Linked DNA regions of Cricetulus griseus. The protein of the gene in region 6 interacts with the protein of the main gene of each other region in a pairwise test. Links are inferred from orthologs where the notes say so. Each region holds a gene or a part of one and is shown on either strand. Other genes may lie near its edges.

Evidence for each region.
Region 1: the proteins of Ldlrad1 (region 6) and Pln interact in binary tests that used the Homo sapiens proteins (3 or more experiments, as listed by UniProt). The link is inferred for Cricetulus griseus from reciprocal best matches to the Homo sapiens genes LDLRAD1 and PLN.
Region 2: the proteins of Ldlrad1 (region 6) and Bnip3l interact in binary tests that used the Homo sapiens proteins (3 or more experiments, as listed by UniProt). The two-hybrid records come from large-scale screens. The link is inferred for Cricetulus griseus from reciprocal best matches to the Homo sapiens genes LDLRAD1 and BNIP3L.
Region 3: the proteins of Ldlrad1 (region 6) and Adgrg7 interact in binary tests that used the Homo sapiens proteins (3 or more experiments, as listed by UniProt). The two-hybrid records come from large-scale screens. The link is inferred for Cricetulus griseus from reciprocal best matches to the Homo sapiens genes LDLRAD1 and ADGRG7.
Region 4: the proteins of Ldlrad1 (region 6) and Mall interact in binary tests that used the Homo sapiens proteins (3 or more experiments, as listed by UniProt). The two-hybrid records come from large-scale screens. The link is inferred for Cricetulus griseus from reciprocal best matches to the Homo sapiens genes LDLRAD1 and MALL.
Region 5: the proteins of Ldlrad1 (region 6) and Vti1b interact in binary tests that used the Homo sapiens proteins (3 or more experiments, as listed by UniProt). The two-hybrid records come from large-scale screens. The link is inferred for Cricetulus griseus from reciprocal best matches to the Homo sapiens genes LDLRAD1 and VTI1B.
Region 7: the proteins of Ldlrad1 (region 6) and Bnip3 interact in binary tests that used the Homo sapiens proteins (3 or more experiments, as listed by UniProt). The two-hybrid records come from large-scale screens. The link is inferred for Cricetulus griseus from reciprocal best matches to the Homo sapiens genes LDLRAD1 and BNIP3.

What each region holds. Positions count from the first base shown.
Region 1 is NC_048595.1:255,659,571-255,662,198, reverse strand, and holds Pln (cardiac phospholamban), read left to right. Parts: upstream 1-1,762; coding exon 1,763-1,921; downstream 1,922-2,628. UniProt on the Homo sapiens protein: Reversibly inhibits the activity of ATP2A2/SERCA2 in cardiac sarcoplasmic reticulum by decreasing the apparent affinity of the ATPase for Ca(2+).
Region 2 is NW_023276807.1:221,982,863-221,987,652, reverse strand, and holds the start of Bnip3l (BCL2/adenovirus E1B 19 kDa protein-interacting protein 3-like), read left to right. Parts: upstream 1-1,664; 5' UTR 1,665-1,760; coding exon 1,761-1,857; intron 1,858-2,188; exon of another isoform or gene 2,189-2,212; intron 2,213-4,790.
Region 3 is NC_048597.1:35,383,291-35,388,086, reverse strand, and holds the start of Adgrg7 (adhesion G-protein coupled receptor G7), read right to left. Parts: upstream 3,091-4,796; coding exon 2,976-3,090; intron 1-2,975. UniProt on the Homo sapiens protein: Orphan receptor.
Region 4 is NC_048599.1:50,860,147-50,864,893, forward strand, and holds the start of Mall (MAL-like protein), read left to right. Parts: upstream 1-1,383; coding exon 1,384-1,494; intron 1,495-4,747.
Region 5 is NC_048598.1:124,473,585-124,477,108, forward strand, and holds the end of Vti1b (vesicle transport through interaction with t-SNAREs homolog 1B), read left to right. Parts: intron 1-987; coding exon 988-1,049; intron 1,050-2,242; coding exon 2,243-2,339; 3' UTR 2,340-2,554; downstream 2,555-3,524. Other genes in the region: Arg2 (arginase-2, mitochondrial), read right to left, coding at 2,788-2,993. UniProt on the Homo sapiens protein: V-SNARE that mediates vesicle transport pathways through interactions with t-SNAREs on the target membrane. These interactions are proposed to mediate aspects of the specificity of vesicle trafficking and to promote fusion of the lipid bilayers.
Region 6 is NC_048595.1:42,609,438-42,613,402, reverse strand, and holds part of Ldlrad1 (low-density lipoprotein receptor class A domain-containing protein 1), read left to right. Parts: intron 1-40; coding exon 41-166; intron 167-3,081; coding exon 3,082-3,219; intron 3,220-3,965.
Region 7 is NC_048596.1:62,076,782-62,080,993, forward strand, and holds part of Bnip3 (BCL2/adenovirus E1B 19 kDa protein-interacting protein 3), read left to right. Parts: intron 1-2,843; coding exon 2,844-2,991; intron 2,992-3,595; coding exon 3,596-3,677; intron 3,678-4,212. UniProt on the Homo sapiens protein: Apoptosis-inducing protein that can overcome BCL2 suppression. May play a role in repartitioning calcium between the two major intracellular calcium stores in association with BCL2.

The DNA.
Region 1 (2,628 bases), about 210 Mb from region 6:
GATACTTTATTCCACTCCCATATCTAATCAATTTCCTTTCTTACCCACTCACTCCACCATTTTAACTACTGGTCATTATTTTCAAGGTTCCAGAACAAAAGGATCTGGCTTTGTTCATCTAATGTGTGAATTCACACTCTAACAAAAGCGAAAATTTAGAATTGGGAATCAAGGACATAATCCTTCTAAGTTACAGCAGCATGAACTGATAAGAAAAATGGTGCATCAGTATCCTTACCTGACAATTCTGAAGCATTCATTACCAAATAAACACAGGAAAATAAAGCCTGAGTATATGCTCCTCCCTCCCCTCTCCCCTCTCCCCTCCAGAGTCGCAGTCAACTGAGGACCTCTAGTGCTGTCTAGTGTGTACTTCTCCAGAGCTTTAAAAAAGAGCTGAGTAGGTAAGCAGGGGTATATTTGCTAAGTGTTTTTCAATTTTTCTTAATACTTCCCTAACACTCTCTCCCTTCAATCTCTTTCTGAAGCCTCAATATAAGGTTAAAAACACTTTCATGGTGGCACACAGCTTGAGAACAGATTTGGATATAAATTGACCCTGTGTGGCTCTTTATCATAGCATACACATGAAGGACAGAAACACACACCAAATGAAAATCCAATTCACTACTACAATTCAATAGAGCCATGCTGAAGATCTGAGAACTATGCCATCTTTATAAAATAAACACCAAGTTCTAGCTGGTTCTGCTTGATGCAAATCTCCCCCTTTCTCAGTCTCCTTTCTCCTCTCCTCAGCACTTGTCTCAGATGTGGGGACAGCAGACTGAGGTGAGTTCCCAAGAATGCAGAGCCAAGGGAGCAAATCCAACTGCCAGCGAGAGTCTATAATAATATCCTGCTGACAGTGATGCATCAACAAATTAGACACAGTGGTCTCTAGACAGTAAATCATTGCATTTTGTTTCTGTTTATTCTTCCTGTTTTAAAACTGACACAAAAATGTTCTGACAAAAAACAAAACATTAGCCCAGCATAGTAGTATAGGACAGTAATCCCTTTACTTAGTATGCAAAGGCAGAAAGGTGGCGGCCTCCAGTTTGAGGCCAGACTGATTACTGCCTTCGGACAGTACACTTAGTTTATTAATAAGCTTTATTGTTTATTAATTATCAACTCTTTAGACCCTACATATTCAGCAATGGTTTAGGAACTTTGAAAGAAGGCCAGACACAAACCAGGTAAGCAAGATTAGCTGAAAATCGGAACTGTCCATGGTAGTTTTGTACAATAATTATTACAGTGCCTTCCAAGCTTAGCAGTCTTTAGTATTCATTATCATGTACAGTATTTAAAATAGTAGGGGGCATCAAAGGTATAAATCATAAAGAAGAAGGCAAACAGCTAGAATTTGTTTTTTTTATTTCATGTTTAACCAAGCTTTTAATTTACTATATGCATCTCTTTGTCCTGAAACACTTATGTTTACATCAGAGAGATAGCATTCCATAAACCAAGTAATACCTGCCAAAAACCACAGTTCCTACAGCTCAAACAGGACAAATGGGACTGTGAAGTAACATACGAGATATAGAAGCAGAGACCATGGAGCCCAGGGACAGTTGATGTCATAAAACACAGAGACCCAGAGAATGGGTATGGGTATAGGTATTAACCTGGTCCATTTACTGTTTTTACATTCCAGGCCTCCTAACAGAAGACAGCTGCTTACACTTGCCTGCTTACAAGCAGCTCTTTCTTTCTCTTGACCACTCAAAACTTCAGGCTTCCTGATTGCATCATGGAAAAAGTCCAATACCTCACTCGCTCTGCTATCAGGAGAGCCTCAACTATTGAAATGCCTCAGCAAGCACGCCAAAATCTCCAGAATCTATTTATCAATTTCTGTCTCATCTTGATATGTCTCCTGCTGATCTGTATCATCGTAATGCTTCTATGAAGTGCTGCCACCACCTCCAGGATCTGTAACATGCCAGTTCAACTTCAAACCAGCACTCCCTCAAGAGGAGAAACAATACAGCCTACTCCCTGTCTAGAATGTCTTTCTAAAGGTCAAGATTAAGAGGGAAGCAAATTGTTAGCCAATGTATTCACCTACTGGATCTTGTAAACAAACTTTACAATGACTAAGTGTGCATAATGTAGCTGCCAATTTCCTCAAAATGGCCCATAAATATCTTTCCTAATTATTTCTGACCATGAAGTATGAATTTTAATTTTGAAAAAGCACTACAAAAATGTTCACTTTCTACACCCTACTGCTAAGAAGTTCACCATTTTTTTTTTTACAGGAACTAAGTATTTCTCAAGTCTCCACAAAACTGATCATCTAAATGAAGTGTTCTTATTCAAAATAGCTCACTGGGTCCTCACGTGTATGGCTACTATTATTATTACCACATTAGTTATGCTGTCAGAATAAATACCTTGAAATAAAGATCATGTCATTTATCTATACACTAATATTTTTAAGCTTATGAAAATCAAATAGGTAAAAGATCAGATTCTCATATTTCTCAAGGATAAAGGAATTCAAGTACATTAAATAAGTTAACCACAAATCTGCTCTCTCTAGGGCTTTGTGATCAACAATCAAGAATATCTTACTGTGTGTCTGTGACAATTACTAACCATGATAGGATTTCT
Region 2 (4,790 bases), on a different chromosome or scaffold from region 6:
CTGAACTTCACAGTGAGTTCTAGACTAGAGTGGGTTACAAAGTGACAAGGTGAGCCCCTCCCTCAAAGAGGTCAGTAAACGAAATATCCGTAGATATTTATCATTGGGTCAGTTGGCTATAAAGTTGGGAAGAATCAAAGACAGTTTACAAAATGAAAAGTTAATTTCAGGGGAATTAAAGGAGCATCTAATGTAAAACAAAACCTAAGAGAATTAGAGTTTTACAATAAATTCATAATCCTTAAAAAATTATTAATAGGACAGGAGAGATGGTTGAGCAGTATATAGCATGTGCTGGTCTTGTAGAGGACCGGAGTTTGATTTTCAGCACCCAGGTTGGGTGGCTCACAACTTCTAGAAAGTTCAGCACTAGCGCGATCTGTTACCTCTGGCCTCTAAAGGCAAACATGTGTAATTAAAAATAAATCTTAGACCTGGGCGTTGGTGGCACACGCATTTAATCCCAGCACTCGGGAGGCAGTGGCAGGTGGATCTCTGTGAGTTCGAGACCAGCCTGGTCTACAAAAGCTAGTTCCAGGACAGCCTCCAAAGCCACAGAGAAACCCTGTCTCAAAAAACCAAAAAAAAAAAAAAATCTTAGATTATTGTGTACGTGTGTATGGTTTATAGGGGAGGGCACAGGCCACGGTTCATATGTGGAGGTCAGAGGACAACTTTGTGGAGTTAGCTTTTCATCTAACCTGAGTTCTGAGAAACCAACTCTGTCATTAGGTTTGCACAGCAAGCTGAGCTAGCTCACTGGCTGGTCCTAGAAGTGTGGATATTCCCAGATCATAGTTTGTTTGGTTTTGTTTCACAATTACATGAAAATTTTCAACTTTGCAAACAGAAACAAAGTTAAAAGACAAGTACCGTATTGAGAAAACTTCCTATACAAAAAACCAGGTCAGGGAAATTTGGCAAAGATAGGATGTAGGAGTATTTAGGAACAGTCAGGAGCATACAAGAGTTAGATCATTTCCAGAGATTGGTAAGCGTCAGGGTTTGGGTAGATCTGGTTTTTGTTGTTGTTGCTTTTTACTTTGTGTTTGAAGGCAAAAGGGCTTGCGCTGTAGCCTAGGCTGCAGGGAACTCGCTATCCTCCTGCCTCAGCTTGCGCGAGGGCTGGCTTGACAGGTGTGCGCCACGCCCAGCCATTATAGATTCTTCACTAGGATTGCATGTTACCTTTGCAATTAAAATTTCAGAAATTCCAGGCGGGTGATTAGCTCCAAGGTACCTCACACGGTGTCCTGTGGGAGGCACGGACGGATGTTTCACCAAGGGAAGGAACTGGGGTTTTCTGCTTCTTTAAAGCCAAGGTTGAGTTCTTACGTGTCCGCTGCAGGCGTGGGAGGGACTCCATTCACGCCCGGCGCTTCCGGGCTGCACTCTCCTCCCTGGACCAGACACAAGGCCAACTGCCTAGCTCAACCCTTGTGGCTAGTGCGACTGACTCTCAGGAATTCGTTCCCAGCGCCCGCCCGCCGCCCGCCGCGTCAGCACTACTCAGGCACCCGCACGTCCCGAACAGCCCTCTAATGCCCCGCCCCAGGCCGTCCCGGACACGCCCCCTCCCCGCTCAGACCCCGCCCCCTGCCACCAGTGTTGTCATCACGTGGTCTGGGAGGGTCCTGATGTCACGCGGGGAGGGACTGCGCAGACGCAGAAAAGGGGGCGGGGGGACTCGACTTGTTGTGTTGCTGCCCGAGAGCCGGATACTGTCGTGCTGCGGCCGCGCCGCTCCCAGTCTCCCGACCATGTCTCACTTAGTTGAGCCGCCGCCACCCCTGCACAACAACAACAACAACTGCGAGGAAGGGGAGCAGCCCCTGCCGCCGCCCGCCGGCCTCAACAGTGAGCGCGGGGCCGCCGGGCTCGGCGGAGGGATGGGGGAGGAGGAGCCGTTCGGCCGCCGCCGCCGCCGCCGCGCGGGGGGGCGGGAGCAGACGGCAGCCCATTGGTCGGGACCGAGGCTGCGCGTGTGACTGACAGCGGCGCGTTCCCGTCAGGAGCAGGCGCTCGGCGCTGGCTCGCGGCCTGCGCTCCCGGCGCCGAGGCTTAGGGTCGCGGCGGGCGTCGGAAGCGGGCGGCGCGCGCAGCTGGGGGCGGCTGGGGCTGACGGGCGGAGCGGGGCCGGGAACGTGCGGCGGGGACGCCGGGAGATGGACGCGGCCCGCCGGGCGTGGCGGGTGGACGTGCGGCAGCGCAGGTGTGCGGGGCTCGCCCTATACCACATGCCAGTCCAGGGGTCAGCGGAGTTTTGTGCAGGGTGCTTGTACCGCCCCTGTCATTTACCTTTTTTTTTTTTTTCCTGAGAATTTCCCAAGTTCCTTAAGTGAGTTTTTTTTAATCGTTGTTGTTAACCTGGAATTATTTTATTTTAGTACCTTTTCTTTTTTGAGACAGTCTCATGTAGCCAAGGCTGGCCTCGAACTCGCTGTGTAGCTGATGATGAACTGACCCTCCTGCCTTCAACCTCCCAAGTTCTGGGATGACAGTCATAGGCCACCGTGCTCAGGGCTTTTCAAGTGCTGTTTCTTGTGTGACATGGATTGAGTGGCCAGCCGGTCCCCTCAGATCACACCCATCATCAATCTGGGCAGTGGACTTTGGGAAATACAGTGAACAACACAACAGACCTAGGACACAAGCACTGGCACTTGAAAGTTGATGGTCAGGATGGAGTTGCAATCAAATGGAGTGCACTTCTAACAGACGTCTTGTCCTCAGAGTGTCCCCTGTTGTTGTGAGATCAACCGACCTTCTTGCCCAACCTTTCTGTACTTCGTGTCTTATGAAAGAGGCAGTGGGGGTAGTTGGCATATGGCAAGGCAAAGTTCTTTAAAAGCCATTTGGATGTTTAAAGGTCAGGCGGTGTCTTTCATAAGAGGGGGTGCTTCAGGCGTGGCCAGATAGTTTGACGAAGAGCTGTTGCTGAGCCTACAGGATGAGAAGACCATTTGGGTATTTTACCTCATTGTGGTGGCGCATACCTGTCATTCCAGCAGTGTGGAGTAGAGGCCAGCCTGGGCCCCAGAGTAAGACTGTTTCAAAACAAAACCAAAAAATCAGTAAATAAAAAGAATTCAGGTATTTGAAGATGCTCTGCCCCTGCCCCATCTTTTGATAAGACACATCTCTAAATGCTGGTTTTTAAAAAGATTTAGTCAGTGTGTCCTTAAATGTTACTCCTATCACGTAATATTAAATTTAAAATTTTCTATCTGTCCTTAGCATACATTTTTAGAAATGATGAGACAAAAGAGATACCTGTTGTGTTCTTCCTAGAAGTGGTGCTTGTGATTTGAGTTCCCACGGTGCTTTCAGGAGTCTTGTCTTGGGGTGTGCGTGCTTATTTACATGTGTGCCTTCTGCCTGGTCCCTTCTGAGTCAGTTGTGCTCGGTGTCTTCTTAATACTTAAGTGTTTGGTCAGTGTGGGTATGTGGTTTCACAGAATACAAAGGGATTTTTACTTTCCTTAAGGCTTTATTAACAACAGAACCAAAAAGGGTTGAGCTCTATGTGATTGTTTATCCCAAAGTCTGACAGAGCTTTGATGTGTTTGTCATAGGCCAGTCAGCTTCTGCTTCATTTTTAGTGGCTCTTACAGGAGCAAACGAACCCCCAGCCTACATGTGATACCAGATGTTAGTTTGGAAAGTCAGCTAGATAGAAAGCCTTGGACTTGGGCTAGGCTGCCCTTTTAAAAGTCAACGAAAAGCTGTTAGATGATGCCAGGTTTAACTACTGGCCTTGCCTCTTTGTTTGCTTTGTAAAGCTCATCATACAGCCCCGAGTTGAACAAAACAAGCAGTATTGATTCCTCCAAGTGATTTTTTTTTTTAAGGTGCTGAGCAAAACAGTTTATTCAGGAATTTAATACTATCTGAATTCCTGATAAGTCCAAGTACTTTGCTGGCTGCAGTTCCACAGCTGTGGAAAACAGAAGCTGAAATGAATGCAGATTATCTCTGGCTTGAGATTTTTATCTTTAGTTCAAGAATCATGGCAGAGGAGGTTTTGTATGGGTGTGCCTGCATGCATTTATACTCACCGTGTTCTTGCTGGTGCCTACCAGGGCGGGGAAAGGGCATCAATTCCTCTGGAACTGAAGTTAGATGTGGTTGAGATCCTCTGGAAGAGCAGACACTGCTCTTAACTGTTGAGCCATCTCTCCAGCTCCACAGCAGAGTTTTAATAGCAATTTTTTGAAATTTCTTTTTTTCTTTTCTTTTTCTTTTTTTTTTTTTTTTTGGAGATAGGGTTTCTCTTTGTAGCTTTGGAGCCTATCCTGGCACTCGATCTAGAGACCAGGTTGGCCTTGAACTCACAGAGATCTGCTTGCCTCTGCCTCCCATTAAAGGCGTGTGCCACCCACGCCCAGCTTTTTTTTTTTTAAATTTCTTAAAGATTATTTTAAATTATATACCTATGTATCTCTCACTTGAGTGCAGATACCCATAGAGTCCAGAAGAGGGCATTAAGTCCTTGAGAGCTGGAATACAAGCAGATGTGGGGACCAGGAATCCAACCCTGGTCCTCTGTGAAGAGCAAGCAGTGTGTGCTCTCTTAACAGCTGAGCCATCTTTCCAGCCCAAATTATTGATGTATTTGAAACAGTGAAACCTTTCTCTGATTCTGTTGTTTACCACTATAGAGGAACTGTTCAGTTTTATTACAAATTGGAGGACAAATACCCAAACTTCTCCCAAAATTAAAATGATGTTTCCAGTTGTTACTTTTATAATTAAGAAAACTTTTAAGTTTCTGAAGAGATGAGTAAGAC
Region 3 (4,796 bases), on a different chromosome or scaffold from region 6:
GGGAGAGGGAACTGGGATTGGTATGTAAAATAAGACAGTTTAAAAATAACATTAAAAATTCATGTGTTGAAATCAAACTCTCAATATAATAATATTAAATGTCAAAGTTTTTAAAAGGCGATACAGCAAGAAGACACCCATAACCAAGAGGCAGACATTCACCAGACACCGAAGCTGGAGCTCATTTTCCCCAGTCTCTCTGGTGCCCATAACTGTGGAAAAGAGATTTCTGTTGTTTATAAATTACCTGGTTGTGGTATTTTGTTATAGTCTCCTTAACAGACCACCTTCTAGTTTTTGTAAGACTTATTTATTCACCGAAGTAACTCGAATCTAGTTGTAGGGAATCTGGTAGGGTTCTACATCAGGCCTCTCTTCTCTTCCACAAAGAAAGTAAGGATGGAGAAACTGTCAGTAATGAGACTCGTGACAAAAAAAAATATGTGTAAAAAGAGGGAAAATGGGATTAAAAACTCAAAGAAATGGTGAATTCAGTTGAAGGCCTAAACCATCAAATGAGATACTCATGTGAAATGGGGTAAAGGCAACTGTAGGTAAACCACCACTGTAGGAACTGTAGGTAAACTACAATTGTAGAAACTGTAGGTAAACCACCACTGTAGGAACTGTAGGTAAACCACCACTACAGGGAAGGAACCAAGTCTAGAACTCCTCTTGGGAATTGCAGAAGTTATCAATACTATTGAAAGTTTACTTTGCCCAAAGAAATGTCTTTGGACAGCATTGGAAAGTGTTAGAGAGCATAGATGACATATTACACATGACAATATATAAAATCATTCTTAATAATTCCATCAGTGTCATATAAAAATGACAGAGTACTCCAGCAAACCTGAAAGAAGCCTCTGCTACTTCTGTGCAGCAACATCAACTGTCAAAAACAGAGCCTTAATTGGCAGTGACCTTTTAACAAGAGGCTTGGTTCAGAAACAGGAGTGGGACTTTTAAAAGTTCCATTTGCTCCTAGAAGGTCACTGGGCCCCCTCCATTCCCAGCACCATCAAGGCGGCTGGACCCTGCCCCCACTTCTGGTGGACTTCCACTGCTCTGGTGCACTCCCCACCAGCCTGCAAGCAAGTGAGAGACCTGCCTCGAGCTGCGCCTCAATCCCAGCCACCCACTTGACACTGTCACATCACGACCCACTGTGCCACCCAACCCCACGCACCTGAACATCTTCCCTGTGGCCAGCCAGGCCCCAAAAATGTAGGCACAGGAGCAAGCCACACCAGTTGGAAGAAAAGATGAGTAAATGCCATTGTAAGAATACATTCAACAACCAGAAGAGCAAATGGTACCACCAGAACCCAGTGATCCTATAACAGCAAAACCTGACCATTCGAATGCAACAGAAACACAAGAAAATGAATTTTAAAATTACTTTATGCAGGTCTCTGAAACTCTATGAACCACATCTTAAAGTGCTTCCTTGACATTCAAACCTGTGGTTCACTTTAGAATAATTAGAGTTGATTTGATTTGTGACCTGTTGGCTATTTCCAATTTGCCTTCCCGTTGAAATCGAGCAATGGCCTGGATGAAAAGCACGGTAAAATGAAGTTTCTTTTGCTGTTCTGCACCAGAAGATCAAAACAGACAAATGATGGGGCTGCAAAACTGAAGAAAGCACCTTACAGTCTCCCAGACGATGGTGAAAGCACAACAGTTTCTGCACCAGCAGAAATGTATAGACGCCATAGAAGACTCCGAAAAGCTGGGAGCTTTTTATACTCCCCAGACTGCAAAAACACAGGAGAATCATGGACATGAAGACAACAGAGAACTCTGATTGCTGTGCTTACTGCACCATTGTGAATTGGAATTTTCGCTCTTGTTGTCTCAAAAAAAAAGGGGGGGGGGTGAATTAATTCACTCTAGTTTCATTTATTTTTCAGAAAAAAAAAAAAAAACCACTGGGACCATAATGACGCATGTTCAAATCCACAGCCAGCGTTGCACAACTATATAAATGTAAAAATGTTCTCCCGGCCTCAGTTTCTCCATTTGTGACACAACCAAATGCTACCTGCTTCAAATGTGGTTGTCAGGATGAAGTGAGAGAAGGCGCCCGAAGTTCTGAGTGAGCTATCTTGGTCCCAGTAAGAGTTTTTGAAGTTGTAAGGTATATAAAAATTAAATGTAAGAATCAATGCTCTCTCTGTAGTCAAATATAGGCTTTTCATTGAGACTTTCTCAGAATGGAGTTGGAAATTTTCTGTATTTTTTCTTAAACAGGTCGAGAATCACTGCTTTATAGTGACTCCCCAGAAGCCAAGGGATACAGCATTAGAATAACTGAAACACTCTTTTTGATTTTTTTCTTTTCCATTTCTTTTTTCTATTTTTAAATTTAAATTAGAAACGAGCTTGTTTCACATGTCAGTCCCAGTTCCCTCTCCCTTCCCTCCTCCCTTGCCCCCCACTAACCTCCTATCCCGTTCCCTTTCTGCTCCCCAGGGAGGATGAGGCCTTCCACGGGGAATCTTAAATTCTCAAGGGCTTTATTTTCACACCATCATTTTACACACAACCACACTAACATCTCTGGATTCCTTCTTGAGATAAATTTCTACATGGTTGTATATAGTTACTTGGGAATCTGTGCTCATAACTATTTACCTTTCTAGGATTTAGCTAAATAAACCCAAATATGCATTGTTAATAATTTCTACTATTACTCATTCTATCAAATAGTAATTAGAATAGCACAAAGAAGCCAATTCAAAATGCTTTCTTCACCCTGCTTATTCACACATATGCATCTATTTATACATACAGCTGCCCAGTAGCTACTAACCAACTGCTGTCTTACACTTCATAAATGGCATTATAGAAGGCAGCCATTGCCTGGGCAAAGGTCCTCCCCAGCACTGCTGTATCAGGTGACAGAGTCAAAGGTTCAAGCTCTGCCACCACCTTCCCTCACCCAGAGGACTCTAACAGGGTGACATTACCTCTCTGGATCCTGACTGCCAACCTCCAGATGCCCAGTCCCAAAATGACGCCGGTCAGCAACCCACACACAATAGCCACCAGCACCCGGATGTTGCAGGAATGGCAGGAACGCATGTTGAAGCCAAACCACTCCACCACTCGTTGTGAAACAGCTAGTTTCTTAAGTCAAGAGATTTCATCAAAGACGGTTATCAAACATGAAAAGAACTCTTCCTTTCAGTGGTCCGTCTGGCAGGCGTTCTCATGTTTGAAGAGTTTTGAGGTTAGTTCAGCGTAAAGTAGTTTCAACGACCTAATAGAAGGTGTGTTTCTGCTTGCAGTGTGCTCACTCTTCAACGAGGGAGATCAGGTGTCTGGGATTCTCAGAAAAGGAAATCAACTGAGAGCAATAAAAAAGGGGAGGGGTTGGCCTAGAGGGTCAAAGGGTGGATCTCCAGACAAGAAGAAAGGAGGCCAGCAAGGAGAACCCAAAGAGGAAGTCAGGAAGGCAACGGATCCCTCTGGTTGTCCACAGCTCAGCCAGTGCTTCAGCACCTCCACACACCTTCCTGGAGAAATAAAGTATGTTGTCAAATGAGATGATAACTGCAGTAGCCACATATGATTTCACTGCTTGCATTTCCTCACATGCTAACAGCTGGAATTAGTGAGTGAGCTTCTTGGCTCGGGGAGAACTACAAAAAGCACTGGAGCCTAGAATCACGACCCCTCTATTATGGATTAAATTATGTCTCCACATTCATGTGTTGGAGTCCAAAGCACCCACAACGTGGCCTTGATTGAAGATCAGTTTGGTAGGGAAATGATCTAATTTAATTCAGGACAATAGAGTGGGCCTTATTCCAGTATGGTTGGTGTCTTTAAAAGAGAAAATCTGTGTAGAAGTGCACAGAAGGACAATGTATAAAGAGACTGGGGATAAGACAACCAACTGCAAAGGAAGTCTACAGAGAAAGGCTCTAGCAGAGCCTTCCTTCAGAGCCCTTGGAAAGAACTAACCTCGATGTCATCGTCACTTAAAACAGTGGTTCTCAACCTGTGGATCGTGACCCCTGTGGGGTCAAATGACCCTTTCTCAGGGGTCACATATCAAATACCCTGCTTATCAGATACTTATATTATTATTCATAACAGTAGCAACATTACTGTTGTGGAGTAGCAATGAAAAATAATTGTATGGTTGTGAGGTCACCACAACACAAGGAAAAATACATTCCTGTTATTTAGGCCACACAGTTTGTGGTACTTTGTTACAACAATCTTAGGAAAGAAATCCTCTACCAGAACGTCTATGAACAAACTAGAACCTCTACGCAGCTGCAGCGGTGACTCTTGGGATTGGTATTCCTCTCCCCAGCCCTCCCTAGTCTCAAATGAAGACACTAATGAGTAGCCATGTCAGGACTGTCACAGGCAGGGACAGGTCCTCAAAGCATTCATATTCTCTTCAGGGTGAGAAACCAAGGAGTTCACCCCTGATAAGACAGGTCACAACTGTTAAAGACAACAAATGTAATTAGCACAGAGTTCTTTTCCAGGAGTATCAAGTGCAGATTTATGAAATAAATTTTACATTTAAGCTGATTGTCTGTTTAACCCTTGAAATTGCATGCATATTATCTCCAATTTCTCAATAGTACTTATTTTCTAAAGTACAACCTTGGGGGTATTAATATAAAGTCCTAATTTTAATTGATCCCAGAGCTTCATGAAAACACATTAATATGTCACAGAATGAAACAATTTAGAGACTGCTACAGAAGAACAAAACAAATGAATCCATGTTCATTATCCATTGGTTGTGAATAATAATAATTATT
Region 4 (4,747 bases), on a different chromosome or scaffold from region 6:
TCTGGGCCAGGGAGGTGGCTCAGCAGGTAAAGACACTTGTCCCTACAGCCTGATGACCCTAGTTCTATCCCTAGAGCCGGTGTATAACTTCTTACAGCTTAATAGCAGCTTCCCACTGCCCCATGTAGATTATGGTCAGATCAAAGGGGGCCCACAGCCCCAAAGAGTGGTGTGCTGCTTGTCCCTGATATTCAGAAAAGGTGGTGAGAGGTGAGATTCCAGCAGAACATAGTAGCTTTGGCACCATCCTGTCAACAGTGTAGGGACCTGAGAGTGGCCTGTAAGCTCTGGGACTTGGAAAGAGTTGAGGATAGGCTGTTTGGGGGCTACCTGTTGCCTTTCCTTGCAAGGCTTTGGCTTTGAGTTTCATTTAATCCACCTCCCTGGCTGGCAGAGACAATTGGCTACTCCTCCCACCTTGCCCAGGACAGGCCCTGGAACTCCCTGCTGTTGCTAAGGAACAAGACACATCCTGTCACCCCAGTCTTCGGGACAACTCTCCCGTGCATCCTCTCCTCTGCCCGGGGAGGCTCTCCAGCTGGCCTGCTGGAGCCAAGGAGGGAAGGAAGAAGACTCTGGGGCGCCAGGCCTTCCCTCAGGGCGGTGGAAAAATGAAGGTTAGTGGGTTGGAAGGTAAAGAAGAAATCGGTCCAGTCTCCAGACCTGGCTTGCGTGTGAAAGAAACAGCTTTGTGTGGAAACACAGCAAGGCAGCCAGCCCTGGGCTCTACTCGGGAAGGAACTGCTTGGCCCCAACCCTGGGTCCTAGCTCGACTAGGAAGACAGCAAGAGCAAGACCCCAAAGAGTGATTCAGTTGGGACAACACCAAATCCCTGAAGAGGGGAGGTGTAATGCCTGGCTGCTTCAATCCCTCAATTAGAATCCCAGGGTCGCCTTGATGGGAAGAAAGGCAATCTGTGTGACCACTCTGTGACCTTGACTGTACCTTTTTCTTATCCAGTCTCCTCTCTTGGAAAAGTATAACATAGCCACGTGCTGGACTGTCTGAGCTCCAGAGGTGTCTGTGGATGGTTACACATAGTAGGTCCTCAATAAATGTATTTTATATCAGCAAAAACAAAAACAAAAACACTGCTTACATCCTGAGTGTAAAGATCAGCAGGGGCATGGCTGGATACCTCCTGGAGTCGTTTGCTCCAGGGAAAGTCTAGAAAAGAGCCTTCACGAGGCAGCACCAGTTCCCTCTCTCTGGCTGGCTGGCCGGCTCTGTGCAGAAGGACCTGCTCTTCTGGAACCTTTCTTTTCCCCTCCCAGGCGACGTCCCTCGTCCGATGGGTGTGTCTGTCGGGCGGGAGGTGATACTTGAACAGCTGCGGGCGCGGGCGAGTGCTGTGGAGCAAGGATACCGGCATAGGTGACAGCATGGCTTCCCGGGACACACCGCCGGCCACCAGCTATGCCCCGCCCGACGTGCCCTCGGGGGTCGTTGCTGTGTTTCTCACCATCCCCTTTGCCTTCTTCCTACCGGAGCTGGTGAGTGCGGCTTCGGCCACCAGCAGGGAGGGAGGGGCTGGGAACCACTCCTGTGCTACCGACCTACCGCCACCCGCCACCCCCCATCCGGGGATGGGGTAAGGCAGCTAGCTACGGGTGCCCACTTTCCATACTATCTGCCTGACCCCAGGCTGTGTCCCTCTAGAGCGAACTTTCCTCCTTCCCAAAGAGGAACCTTCCCCAGGACACTCGTTTATTGAAGGTGTGCAGCCACCTTCTAGATTACCCAGACGTCTCGGAATATTCTATTACCTGGTTTCTTTCCACCTAGCTGTTTGTACTTTCCTAAAGTTCAAAGAACCAGAGGACTCTCTCTCTAAAAGGCCTTCTAAAAGAAGTTCTCCGAGTATTTCTCAAAGTACATCAGCTGACTTTGAACTTTGATTTATGTGTCTCCACAGAGGAGGGAGCTCATGACAGCACCGTCCATAAAACAATCTCCTGAAACGCCCAAGTTACCCCAGAGAACTTGTTATTGCCGGACTCTGGGGCACCCCACAGCAGAACTGGGCTTTATTCCCTGCCTGGGCTCAGCCATGCATCCAGTAGAAAACAGGTTCCCTCTGCTCCTGCAGTATCTAGATTGTGCGTGATTTTTTCTTCTGAGCTCTGAATTTGACAGTGCTGCCTCTGTGTCGGGAGGAAGACTCAGAATAGTACATAAAACTGGCACCAGTGGCCAACCTTTTCCACTCTCTTGGTCTCCTCGAAAGGCTGGGACTGATGGAGTGAATTTTAGGCAAATTGGTTAAAACAGCCATTCTTGTTCATCAAGAAAGGGAAGCCAAGCTAGCTGAGCCCCATAGTTGGGTGGCTTTGGCAGAGACCCCACCTAAGAGATAGGTTTCTTTCAATCCCCCACAAACGTGGGCATCCTGCCAGGCTGATCACATTCTGAACTCTGTGTGCCAGGCCCTGGGTGTGGCCCTCACTTTGGAGCAGCCACATGTATGACAGGACAGAGCTGTCTCTGCCACTTTTTATTGAGCATATTCTTGCCAGTCACACAAATCATTGTAGGAATGGCGGCTACCTCCCAGGGGTCTCTGTGAGTGTTTTCTGGGTGGCTTAAATGCAGCACCAGCAAGAAGAGATGGCCAGTCCCAGGTCAGGGAGGGCCCAGGGCTGTCCCTGGGAGTTGCCACTCGAAGAAGGCTGGATGGCTGAGGCAGCAAAGCAGCCAGGTAGAGAACTGGCACTTGAGGGGCCCACAAATGTCCCCACCTGTCCTCCTTCTGCAGTGGATTCCTAGAAGAGTACTATCAAGGTGTCCTGGGACTTGGAGGAAAAGAGGACATTGTCATTGGTTTGGTTTTCTTGACTTATTTTTAAATAATTTTAGATTTCTCTTAAAGACACAGTAGCAGTACAGGAAGTGTGTATCACTCTGAACCCCACAGATCTCCCCAAGCCAGGAAGTTAACATTAGCACTCTGCTGTTGACCATTGTTGTCATATTTGCTCATTTCCCCACTAATGGCCTTTCTCTGACCCAGGGTCCAGGCTAAAACTCCTCATTGTGTTTGGTTGTCCTTTTCCCTTCATTCTGGGGCGGCTCCCCTGCCTTCATCTTGGTGTTCTAGAGAAGGGATTAGTCCATTAGGGCAGTACCCTTCCAGTTAGCCTTGCCCCAAATTTTTAATTTGCAAGTCAACCTTATTCATTGTTTAAAACTTAGAAAATACAGAAGTGGGCAGGACCTGTATGTATGCATGTGTTCACAGGTGGAGCATGTGCAGCGTGTGTGTGTGTGTGTGTGTGTGTGTGTGTGTGTGTGTGTGTTGAGTGCATCATTCTGCACATGCTACTTGTACCCGCTGTGAGCAAGGACTCCAGAATCATGTGTGCCTGGATGAAAGACGGGGAAAGAGGGGACCAGGTTGGGGAAAGGATCAACTTTTGATTCCATGAACGGAAGCTAGGAAAACGTGTATTTGTGCTGAGCCAGTTTGGCTCAGACCGGTCTTTGGCTTGGGCAGTCTGATGTATCCCCCTCTGCTATCCATGTGATCGATGTGAAAGCACCATGCCTCCAGGTACTCCTGACCCTTCCTTAGTCTTCTGGTCTGAGACAAGGGTCTATAGAATGGATTAGAAAGCAGCGAGGCCAGGACACCATTGCAGAGCACAGAAAGCAATACCCAGGTATAAGGTGAATACCGATACGGAGCCAGTAGAGATATTAGGGTATATTTATTAGGGAGAGCCTTACTCACAGAGCAACCTAGCCAGCCGGAAAGAAACGGAGTAAGCAGAGCAAACCAATGAAGCAGGGAAAAAGAAGGGGCTCCCAGGTGCGCGTCCCTCACGTCACCCTGACCATGCCTGCCAGGACGTGGTCAGGCACACCTGTAGCCAGCCCCGAGGAGGCGTGGTTACTGTGTCCCCTACACCCAGGAACTAGGGTGCAGTGATTCTGCGGTGGAGTAGCTCGGGGTGACATCACACAATGGTGTCTTCAGTGACCTTCCCAGCCACCAGCAGCTGTTGTGGAGCACCACATGGAGCCGGTGGGCAGATTCATTGTCAGATCAAATCCAACAAGCTGGGATCTTCCCTGATGGCCATAAGCCACACTCTGGCTATCATGGAGGTACGCCTCTGGCTCTTTGTGGCTCTTGAAGATGACAGGCCAGGTAGGGTAGCTCAGGCTTCCAGTAGCTTACTCTAAGGACCTTTGCCTACAATGCTTTATTTACCGATCTTCAGCATTAATATTTGCATTTTAAAACTTTTTATTCTGTGATAATGGTGGTTCTATAGGAACTTGCATTCCCTACAGTTCCCCAGTGGCCATGTCTTTCCTAACTAGAGTTGTTTTAAAACTGGGAAACTGAGGTTGGCGAGACAAATCTTCAGTTTACCCCTGTAGATTTGTCCGAGAGCAAGGTTCGGGACTGTCTCATCACACCAGAAGCCCCCCTTTTGCTACTCTCTGGGGACCCCAACCCATCCCATGTTCCTTATCACTATTCCAACAGTTTGTTAGAAATAAGTACTTCTACGGATAATTTTTTTAGTTCAAGAAAGTTATATAAATAAATGTAATTGAACAGCATAGGACCTTTTGAGACTGGATTCACAGTTTGTTCCTTTTTATTGCTGAGTAATATTCCACGATAAGGATTTTTCATAATCTAACCACCTCTATTGAATGTTTGCAGTTCTGGGCAGTCTCGAATAGAGCTGCTGTTGGCATTCATGTTCTGGCTTTTGTTGGAGTACATTTTTC
Region 5 (3,524 bases), on a different chromosome or scaffold from region 6:
AAATTGCTAATCCCAATGTAAGCTATGAAGGCAAATTGCTAACAGATTGTCTAAGTTTTGGGTCTTGAGTATACTTTGTAGATTGGTTGAACTTAACACACCAAAGATTGATCTGAGATACAGCAAGGAACATCATTGAAATTTCCTTCTGCTAACTAGATTAGTAACAGGTAATCAAATGAGAAAGGCACATTGGGACTAATCCTTTCTCCATTAAGTGTAACCACTCAAGCAAGGATTAAAAAAAAAAAAAACCAAGATCCCAGGAGCATTGACTTGACTTGCCAGTCTACAAGGCAGCACCCTTGTAGAGGACCCAGAGCCGGGAGATCCCATGCTCATTTTTGACTTGTGTGGGCAGTAGACACACACTTGTGCAAATACTCATACACATAAAATAAACCCTTACAAAGAAAAAGTAGCAAACACCAACTCAAGAGACTCTCAAGATTTGAATTTTGTCAAACACTAGTTGTCCTACAGTCACTGGCCAGGTACAGGGGAAGCTTTCCTATTTGGCAGTCAGAAAGGTTTGGTGTTACAACTGTGACACTATTCTCTATCACCTCCTCCGCCCCTCTCTCTCTTCCTTCTCCTCCTGTGACAAGGTCTCATTCTGTAGCCCTGGCTGTCCTGGAACTCATTGTGTAGACCAGGCTGGCCTCAAACTCAGATCTGCCTGCCTCTGCCTCCCATGTACTGGGATTAAAGGTATACACCACCATGTCTTTAACCTTCCTGTTTGAATAGCCAAAGTGAATTAGTTTTCTCATAGCCACCCCAGTCTTACAGGAACAGTGTGATACAGTGATTCCCTCCTCAAATGAGCACACACACACCCACATTGACCTTTCTAGCTCCCTTCATTTATACTCAGGTATAAGCCGTTAAATTCATTGATTTATTAACAATGACCTTTACTTGCCCACTGTTCAGATTCTATAGAATGTCTTGAAAGAAGGAAATGATTGTTATTTTCTCTTTCAGCTGGTAAACACAAATGAAAACTTGAGCAAAAGCCGAAAGATTCTCCGCTCAATGTCCAGAAAGTAAGTTTCAAAAAAGAAAAAAAAAAAGAAAGCCCACAACTCCTTGAGACTTAATATATTTCAACTAAGAAAGCTTAAAACAGTAACTTAGCAAATGTCCTAATAAATAACCTCAGTGTTATACAGCACTCACCATCCAAAGAATATAGATTTGTGTAGTTAAAAATCTCAGGAAGGCTATCTGCTGGATAATGCTTATCTCCATCTCCATTTCTCAGAGACCACCTAAGGAACTGATGTGCTCTCTACTTCCTGAGCAGCTTTGTCACAGGCGGTAAGAGCACTGATAGGGCTTAGTCCCTGCCTTTCAAGGCAGGCCCTTTTTGGGAGTGCTGTCCTGTTAGCAAGAAGTATTCAAATAAGCTGGCAGGCAGTAAAGGTGGTTGGGGGTGGGGGGAGTTGAGAGGAAGAAGCATCTCTAAAGTTGTCCTCTGGCTGCCACAAGTGAATTGTGTGTGCGTGCACACGTGGACTAATTAAAACAAACCCGAGGCAAGTACTAGCAGCAGCAAAAACAAGGCCAAAGGGGAGTAACACTGGGGTAACCTGTGTGCATAGTAGTGTGGCATGGCTTTGTGTACATGTGAGCTAACAATAACTACAACAACCCATTCATTTAACTAGTATTTGCAGTAGAATTTCCCAAACCATGGTAAATTCTTTGTGAGATAAGGAGAGATCAGATGATAATCTGAAGTAAATTTTTTAGAGTGGCTGTTCAGATAGCAGAGCAGAGAGGGAGAAGTTTACAAGAGACTAAAAGGCAGTACTCAAGGCCACTCAAGTTACTTGACCTAAAAGCAGGACCCATCCATGAGCTTAATTAACTCTGAAACCAAAGTGTACCCTAAAAACCCTGCTTCCAATATGCACTCAGAGCTGTATGTGTAACTAATAGGACCATATTTAAAGCAGCAGAAATGCAAGTGGAGGCGATTTTTCCAATAAAGAAGCTATGTTTATGTTTTGGTGTTTATATTCCTGTTTCCCACATGTCTGATGTACTAAGTGATGTCCTTCAGTTATAGCTGAAAAGCACCATGAATTTTCACTAGCCAAAGGATGTAGGATTTACTGCTAAGTGGCTATGTGAACAAACACATATTCCATCTGCCTCACTGTGTGCAGCATTAGAAACGGCTAGAAGTAAGGTTACCCAGACTCATGTCTACTTACTGTGCTTGTCTTTGCAGAGTGACAACCAACAAGCTGCTGCTTTCCATCATCATCATCCTGGAGCTAGCCATCCTGGCCGGGCTTGTGTACTACAAATTCTTTCGACACCATTGAACTTCCTGGAGGGAAGGGACTGTGGACCAGAATCTTGACTCCAAACGGTGTTAGGCATATATATTGCTGCTGTGGGCTAACAGTTCAAGAATGTATTGTGTAGCCAGACTATGGGGGGAGGGCAATGGAAAACCACAAATTTGTGAAGGAACAGCGCAAGACCAGTATGATATACTAAGGTAATAAATGCTGTTTATGACTCCTTCAGATTTAAATGTATAACATTAATATCTTGTGAACTTCAAAAACAAAACAAAAACAAAAACCCAAATATACAGTAGTAGTATTGGTCACCAAATAGAGAAAGGAAATTTTACAATTGTGAGAGTGCACAGATGTTCTCATTAAGGCAATGTTGATCCAGACAGCCATTTAATGTTTGTCCACTTAAATGCCTTGCAACTCTGGAATGCCATTCATTGTGAAAGGTGCCAGTGTACAGTATTTCCTAAATCCTCACACGTGCTTCATTTTCTGACTCATCTGGTGAACTAGGAGTAGGAAGGTGGTCATAGACAATATGTCCTCCTTCTCTTGTCTGACCAAAACTTGAAGCAATCACGTCCACTGCTAGGCTGGCCGTAGCCTTGGCCTCTTCCTCTGAAGTGGCCAATTGAGGATTGACTTCAACGAGATCCAAAGCTGACAGCAGCCCTGGAACAATAAAGGTAAGAGAAGACAACCTTAGCAAATTCCCTCACTGCTGCTTTCATTGAGGTTGTTCCACCTGGCAAAAAGTAAAATTGCCTACGGTCAGAAAGCCCTGTGCAGTCGGCAAGATGGCTCAGTAGGTAAAGATGCCTCTCAGACAAGCCTGACCACCTGAGTTTGCTCCCTGGGTCCCACATGTTAAGAGAGCCAATCCAGCAAGTTCCTCCACTGGCCTTTACTCCCCACAAACATGGAAGCAAATTAACTTTAAAACAAACAAACAAACAACAAAACAGCTGGGCAGTGATGGTGCTCGCCTTTAATCCCAGTACTTTGGAGGTAGAGGCAGGCAGATCTTGAGTTCAAGGCCAGCCTAGTCTATAGAGTGAGTTCCAGGGCAGCTAGAGCTACATGGAGACACCCTGACTCAAACCATGAGGGTCTGACAAGATGGCTCAGTGGTTATAAGCCCTTGCTCCTCTGGTTGAAAACCCAGGTTCAGTTCCCAGCACCCACATGGTGTCTCAAATGTGT
Region 6 (3,965 bases):
CAGGGGATCCCTGCACCTCTCATTATCTTCCCTTCCACAGGCTGTGGCCCCTTCTGCTGCTCACGCAGAGGGGCCTGCCTCTCGGCCTTCCTGATGCTAGTGCTGGCCATGCTTGCCACCTTGCTTGCCGTGGCCACCATCCTCGGACGTCCACCCCGCATACCAGGTCAGGGTGGCAAGAGGGAGGCGTGGTGGCTCAGGGAGATGGGAGCCCTAGCGTTGCCTGGCTTCTCTCTGAAGTGGCTTGAGTGGTTCCTCATGGTACAAACACAGACACCTGTGCATGTATGGACACAAGTCTGAAGAGGCCTTTTACACATCCTTGACATGCGTCATTTTACATTTTTCTTTTAGTTTTAAGGTTTATTTTTATGTATACGGGTGTTCTGCCTGCATATATCTCTAGACCACAAGTGTACCTGGTGGCCAGGGAGGACAGAAGATGACGTCAGACACCTGGCACTGTAGCTGCAGATGGTTGTGAGCCTCCATGTGGTTGCTGGGAATTGAACCCAAGTCCTCTGGAAGAGCAACAAGTGCTCTTAACCACGGAGCCAGCCCCAACATGCACTCCCGAGAGGTCGTGTTTTTGCTGTTACTTCCTCTAAGAAACTCTCTCTGTCCCCTGAGCTGGGCTAGGAGCTTCCTCAGCCCCCACAACCAGCGAGTGCACTCCCTATTCCCTACCCTGACCACCTGGACAGACCAGGCTGTGTTCACAACTTCCCTGTGGTCTGACTGCAGTGATGAACCCCCCAATGCAAGTGGTGAAACCCCCCCAAGGCCTAACGGGGGTCAGGAGTCTGGAACCAAGGCCCTCATCCGATCAGTGTGGAGGGAGGGAGGGAGCACTATGGGGAGTGAAAGAGACCCAAGATGGGAAGAGAAAGTGGAGATTGTCAGGAACAGCATCCCAGGCACAGGGAACAGTGCGTGTGGAGACCCTGTGATGGGACACGTGAGAAGGAAAGATGGCAAGAAGCCAGGTGGATGTGAGTGGGTGGGGTCAGGCGCCCAGGACCTTAAAAGCTGCACTTGGGAGGGTGGCCATGTTCCAAGAGGATTGTCCCATACTTCTTCCTTGCTTTTTGAGAGATGGCTCCATGGCCAGGCGGGGCCACTGCAAGGGATGAGGAGGAAGTGTGAAACCACAGCATTCCACCCTGACAGTGTAGAAGCGTGAACTGGAGCCATGGACCTGTATATGCAAGCGTGTGTGCATGCATGTGTGCACATGTGTGTCAGTGCTTGTGCATGCAGATGCCTGCCTGTGTGCATGTGTGTGAGTGTCTGTATGTGTGCAGGTGCCTGGCTGTGTGCATGTATGTGTGAGTGTCTGTATGTGTGCAGGTGCCTGCCTGTGTGCATGTGTGTGTGAATGTCTGTATGTGTGCAGGTGCCTGCCTGCCTGCCTGTGTGCATGTGTGTGTGAATGTCTGTATGTGTGCAGGTGCCTGCCTATGTGCGTGTGTGTGTCTGTATGCATGCAAATGCCTGCTGCTTGTGTTCACATGTGTGTGTGTGTGTGTGTATGCCCATATGTTGTTGGGGTTTATTTTGTTTTTGGCTTTTTGTGTTTTTTTTCTTTTTTTTTCCTCTTTGGGGGCCTGCCACCCAACTCCCAAATAAATACATGGAGAATTATTCTTAGTTATGAATGCCTAGCCGTAGCTTGACTTGTTTCCAGCCAGTTTTTCCTAACTTAAATTACCCCATCTACCTTTTGCCTCTGGGCTTTCACGTTTCTCTATTCTCTATTCCTTTCTTTAATTCTTACTCTGTAGCTGGTATCCTCTCTCCTCCTTTTCTTGATCCCCTTCTGCCTTCTCCTCCTATTTATTCTCTCTGTCTGCCAGCCTCACCTATTTCTCTCTCTCCTGCCTCGCTATTGACCGTTCAGCTCTTTTTTAGACCAATCAGGTGTTTTAGACAGGCAAAGTTACACAGCTTCACAGAGTTAAACAAATGCAACATAAAAGAATGCAACACATCTTTGCATGATTAAACAAATGTTCCACAGCATAAAAAAAAAAGTAACACATCTTCAATATTCCACAGCACCCATATGTATGCAGGTTCCTGCCTGCCTGTGCCCACATTAGTGTGCATGCCAGTGTGTCTGTGTCCATGTGTCCGTGTCCGTGTCCGTGTCCGTGTGTGTGTGTGTGTGTGTGTGTGTGTGTGTGTGTGTGTGTGTGTGTGTGTGTCCATGTGTCCATGTGTGTGTACATGTCTATCTGTGCATCTTGTCTTTATGCGTGTGCCCGAATGTGCAGGTGTGTGCATGTGAATGTGTTCGTTTTCCTGTCTGCTTCTGTGGCAGTGTGTGTCCCTAAGAGTGCTTCCCATGGCTCGTGGAGGTTGCTCTGGGTATGAGGCACGATGTGCTGACAGGCCTCCTGCTTCCCCTCCCCCATTCACACCTGTGCCCACAGGCACAATCTATGACTCCCATCTCCTTAGTTTCCCCGTTAAGTCTTGGGCTACCTCTAGGGGTGGGTGTCTCTCCTCCTCTGGCAGGGTTTAAGCATACCACTTCTCAGGAGTACTTGGAGGAACAATAAAAACATGGAAGTCTGCAGACTCTTAAGGTATACCCAGATGGGAGGGATTGTGACATTCTGTCCCTAGACGGCACAAATGTACAATTTGCAACAAGCTAAACTGGTTCCAGGAGAGCCATCATTAAAGCCATGTGAATGATGGCACACTGCCCTCAATGCTTCCTGTGTGGCCAAACCAGTGACCCACTCTGCACACCCTGTGATCCACAGTGTCTGGAACTATCTTGTTGTCCCTGACATTCCACATTCCCCTGGGACTAGGCTCTGACCTGTATTTTGGAGACAAAGGACCTTGGCTGGAGGGGCCAGGTTACCTGTGCCTGCTATGATATGGCAATGGCAGAGTGGCAGCTTCAGCCCACAGATGCCATGGAGTTTAGGGCCTCACCACTGCCCCGGGCCCTCCAAGGAGCTCAAAGGGACTCACTGGGGGACCCTGTGCAATGCCCACCTTGCCCATCTCAAGGCTGTCTTTATGAGCACCACCTTCATTCCGGGGCCTCTCTTGATCCTACAGGGACCCAGTCCTGTGTGACAATGACCAACAGGACAGGCTTCTTATGCCATGACCGAAGGCACTGCATCCCAGCCCATGGGGTGTGTGATGGCATTCTCACCTGTCCCTATGGTGAGGATGAGGATGAACGCTTGTGCCGTGAGTACACCCTCAGTTCCATGTCCCCCACAGCCCCCTTAATTCTCCACACAGTCCTGCGGAACATTCTTAGGCCGCCTCCATGTCCCCGTGCCTATGGTGACATGGTGCCTTAGCCAAGACCTTCTGCTATACATTGGTGGATCTTTCATTGTCATTTCCACTCCCCAGAATCTGTGGCCACCCTTCAAGGCAGAGTTCACATGATACCTCTTCCTGGAAGCCTTCCCTGACTCCTGCTGGAGGTCAACAGTCCTTCTTTAGGCTCCTAAAGACCCTTACCTCCCTGTGTCTTGGCCCTAGTTACACTGGCATCACCTCTGCTACCCCCATCAGCCTGTGAATGCCTCTGTGGCAGTCTGCTCTGGACTGCTTGATACTGGAGTTCTGGTATTGGGATAAGGATATCCAGAATGACTTGCTGAATCAATGAGCAAGTGAGTGAATGAATTGGAAGGCCCCATACCTTAAACACCTGTTTTTAGGAGAAGAGCCTGGCTGTGCGAATGCACAAGAAAACATGAATGAGTGAGGAGACCCGAGGCAGGCAGAGAGCTATGAGGTTGAGGCAGGGGTTGGGACTTTAAAGAATCATTTAGCCCGAATCCAAGAGTGGTGGTACACACTGTAATCTCATCACTTGGAAGGTGGACACAGAAGGATCAGGAGTTCAAGGTCATCGTTGGCTACACTGCAAGTTTTAGGCCAGCCTGGGCTACATGAAACCCTGTATCAATGGCAACAAA
Region 7 (4,212 bases), on a different chromosome or scaffold from region 6:
TACTCAGGTCCATTTTGTAAGGAGCCCCCTAATATTATGCTAAAGAGATGACTTACTGGGGACCCAGAATAGCTAGCCTCAGGCTAAAGTTTGTTCACTAATAATTTATCAGAGGGTGGAAATTTAGGAGCACCAGGGAAGGAGCTGTAAGTTGGGCTGTTAAAAATATAAGAAACTGCCACTACAGCCCAGCTTTGAACCGGAGTGTTCATGGAGCTGTGAATTGGCACAGGAAGGTGGTGTTCCCTGCCCTGTCTGGCTGCTTCTGAACTGTAGCACAAACTAAGCCACAGGTAGAGTTCTGAGCTCTACCAAAGTATTAAATCTCAGGGGGCTGTGGAGAGCTTGAGTTTGTCTTTTAGTTTTTTTAAATTTGTAATTGACAGCAGCAGTGTGGATAGCCTGTACTCTGCTTGTGGCTGGTGTCTGACATGGGGCATCCTTGTGGGTTTCAGCCTTTAATTTATGGGATTGGATACTAATTTTAGGCGATACTGTCAGAATATAATTGAATTCTTAGACTCCTCTGATTGAATTTGGAAAATTGGTAGTTGGTGTAGGGAAAAGTCTAAATTTGCCATCAGGAGTGGGTGCTGGGAAGAAGATAACACAATCTCAAACTTTGCTAGATACCAGAAAAGATTTGGATAACATTAAGCTTCATAATATACATTGGAACTGGCTCAGATTCTGAATACTAGATCTGCCTAGACAAAAGGAACTGAACTACCCATGGCTGGCTTTGAACTCAGAGCAACATTCCTGCCTTAGTGACTCAGAACTGCAGGGATTCTAGGTATGAGCCACCATCCCTGGCTTCTGAGTATCATCAGCCAGTGAAGGGAGGAAGGCCAGCAAAAGAAATTAGTGTGTCTGGAACTGGAGTGTGGGGATTTGCAGATCTCAGAGGGCACTGGGGCCTCTGCTTGTGTACAGCCACAGAGGGCTCTGGACTCTGCCCTTCTGAGTTGGTATTGTGCTTCATGTGGGCTATGCCTGCTTCTCCATGAGTCAATCTGAGGGCTAATGAGGAAAATTGTGTTTATTTTCAAATTTGTATTGTATAATCATTTTTTAGCTTACTGAGAGGCTGTTGATGGTATAAACTGTAAATCCAATTTATTTCTGAGCTCCCTCCCCTTGTGACCTATTCTGCAACAAGTACACTGGCCAGGTGTTTCTGAGTGTTAAAGCACTTCTTTTTGGGGTTCTGGAAGCTGTATAGTGTTCTTGCTTCCAGCGACCGTGAATGTGTGTTCTGCTTTGGAGACTCACTATGTACCTTTGGCTGACCTGGTACTGGCTCTGTGTAACAGACTGGCCTCAAACTTACTTCTTTCTCTTGAATTCTGGGATTTCAGGTATGCCCCCATCATGCCTGGCTTTTTAAGGGGATATTGTTGGTCACATGTAGCACAGGTCACAGATTTCTTTAAACTGGTAGCTGAAGGTGGCCCTCATCTCTTTTTTTAACATTTATTTATTTAATGTACATTGGTGTTTTGCTTGTATATACTGTGTAAGGGTATCAAATACCCTAGAACCGGAGTTACAGGCAGTTGCGAGCTGCCATGTGGGTGCTGGGAATTGAACTGGGTCTTCATGAAGAGCAGCCAGTGCTCTTAACCTCTGAGCCCCCTGACTCTGAACTCTTAAATCCTCTTCTCTCTATTGGGTTATAGGTACCTGCCACCATGCATAGTTCCTTTTTCTTTTTGGAAATTTGTGGGGGTTTGTGGTTTAGAAACAAAGTCTTGCTTGATGTAGCCCATGTGGCCTTGAACTTGAAGTGATCCTCTTGCCTTTTCTCTCCCTTTTGGTACTGGAGATTGAAACCTAGGGCCTTTTATAATCTCTACCTTTGAGCTATATCTCCAACTCAGATTATAAGTGGATCCATTTCCCTCCTTGCCTCCCTCCCTTGTGTGTGTTGAGACAGGGTTTCTCTGTGTAACAGTCCTGGCTGTCCTGGAATTTGCTTTATAGACCAGGCTGTCTTGGAACTTAGATCCACCTGACTCTGCTATCTGAGTGCTGGGATTAAAGGTATGCCCTATCATTGTCTGGCCCAAGATAGGGACTCTGTAATCCTGGCTTGAACTGTAGTCTTGAACTTGTATAGACCAGGCTAGTCTTGAATTCACAGAGGTCCTCCTACCTCTGCCTCCCAAGCCCTGGGACAAAAGGTGTGTGCCCCCCCCCCCTGGTTTCTCGGATCTTTGTAGCACAAACTTGTAACATGAAATTCTTGGCTAGGCAGGTCCCACTGCCCTTCTCTGCCCCCAAAGAAGCACACGGACACTAGACACTATATTAATTATGAAATTGTTGGCCGTTGGCTAGGGCTTCTTATTGGCTAGCTCTGCCTTAATTACTGACCCATTTCTATTAATCCATGTATTTCCACATGGTCTTTTCTTGCTGGGGATGGACCTGCAACTCCTTTGCCTGCTACATGATGACTGCTTAGCATCTCCACAGAAAGAGAGATATTTCCTGTTTGTCCCTGCTTATATCCGGATTCTGCCCAGCTTTGTCACTTCCTGTCTGGTCAATCAGTGTTTTATTCATTAACTAATAAGAGAAACATACACAGAAGAACATTCCTCATCACAAAATGACCTCAAGGCTGGTGGGTAGATTTCTTTCTTTGTGCGGTTTTTTTTTTTTTTTTTTTTTTTTTTTAAAGAGGGTTTCTCTGAGTAACTTTGTAGATCAGGCCAGCCTTGAACTCACAGAAATCTGCCTGCCTCTGCCTCCCGAGTGCTGGGATTAAAAAGGTGTCTACCATCACCGCTTGACTGAGTAGGTAGATTTCTAACTGCCCTTTTTGTTTTCTTCAGGCTCCTGGGTAGAACTGCACTTCAGCAATGGGAATGGGAGCAGTGTACCAGCCTCCGTCTCTATTTATAATGGTGACATGGAAAAAATACTGCTAGATGCCCAGCATGAATCTGGACGAAGTAGCTCCAAGAGTTCTCACTGTGACAGGTAGGTTTGCTGGATGTCTTCTACAGTGTTGATGTTTCAGCAGATGGATAATAGCAGTTGTGCATGCTTTTGTGGGTGGGCCTCCAGGTCTAAGGCCACATTTGAGAATAACTCTGGAAGCAGCCTTGATATAAGGAACCCTGGAGTCTGCTGGGATGAAGTGGTCTGGGGCTCAGTTTAGAGGGACCATGTTAAACCTAGGGGCAAATAAAAAAGTTCCTTAATATACTGCCTCTGTTTTGAAACTATTCAGTGTGAACACCAAGTCTGGGTAGTTTTGTTCATGACCCCCAGCTGGCTTGTGTTCCTAGGCAGCACTACTAGGGAGTGAATCCAAGGTGTGTGCTGAGAGTCAGTGATCGAAGGTCAGATGTTTCTGAGGGCTATGCAGCAGATCATGCAGGAGGGTGGAGCGTCCCTCAGAACTGTAGCTGGCTCCCTATGCTCATTGTTTGGCCCTGTTCTGGTGTTAGGCACAGGGGAAGAGGCATGCTTCTAAGAGTCCTCTACCTCCCCCATTACTGAGGCAATAGCCCTGCTTGGGATTTATGCTTGCTATGACAGAATTAACATGCTGCTCTGTTTTGTTCGATTCCTAATCAAGTCCACCTCGATCCCAGACACCACAAGATATCAACAGAGCTGAAACAGACAGCCACAGCTTTGGAGAGAAAAACAGCACTCTGGTAAGCCATAGGTAGGAGCATGCTATAAAGTTCAGCATATCATCAGTCTAGTGACTTTTACATGGTATCACACACACACACCTTTGCTCCCCTTTAGATTTTGAGAGTCTCTCATTTAACATGGAGCTTACCAATTTGGCTAGATCACCTGGCAAGTTAGCCCTAGTAATCCTCCTACCTCAGCCTCCCAAGGCTGAGAAGTGTTACACTGTGCTTGGCATTTTACGTGAGTATTGGGGTTCTGTGTTTTTTTTTTTTTTTTTTTTTTTTTAAGTTTTTATTATGCATATACGTGTAAGAGAATATCACATATTCAGGCGGCCAAGGAGTCCAGAAGAGATCACTGGATCCTTTGGAGCTGGTTACTGTGTTATAAGCTGCCTGGTGTGAGTGGTGGGAACCAAACTCAGGACCTCTGCATGAACAGCAGCATTTTCAACCCAATATTTTAGATTTTTATTTAGACAGGGACTTTCCTGGAATTTGCTATATTGACCAAGACTGGCTTAAACTCAAAGAAATCAAACTGCCTCTG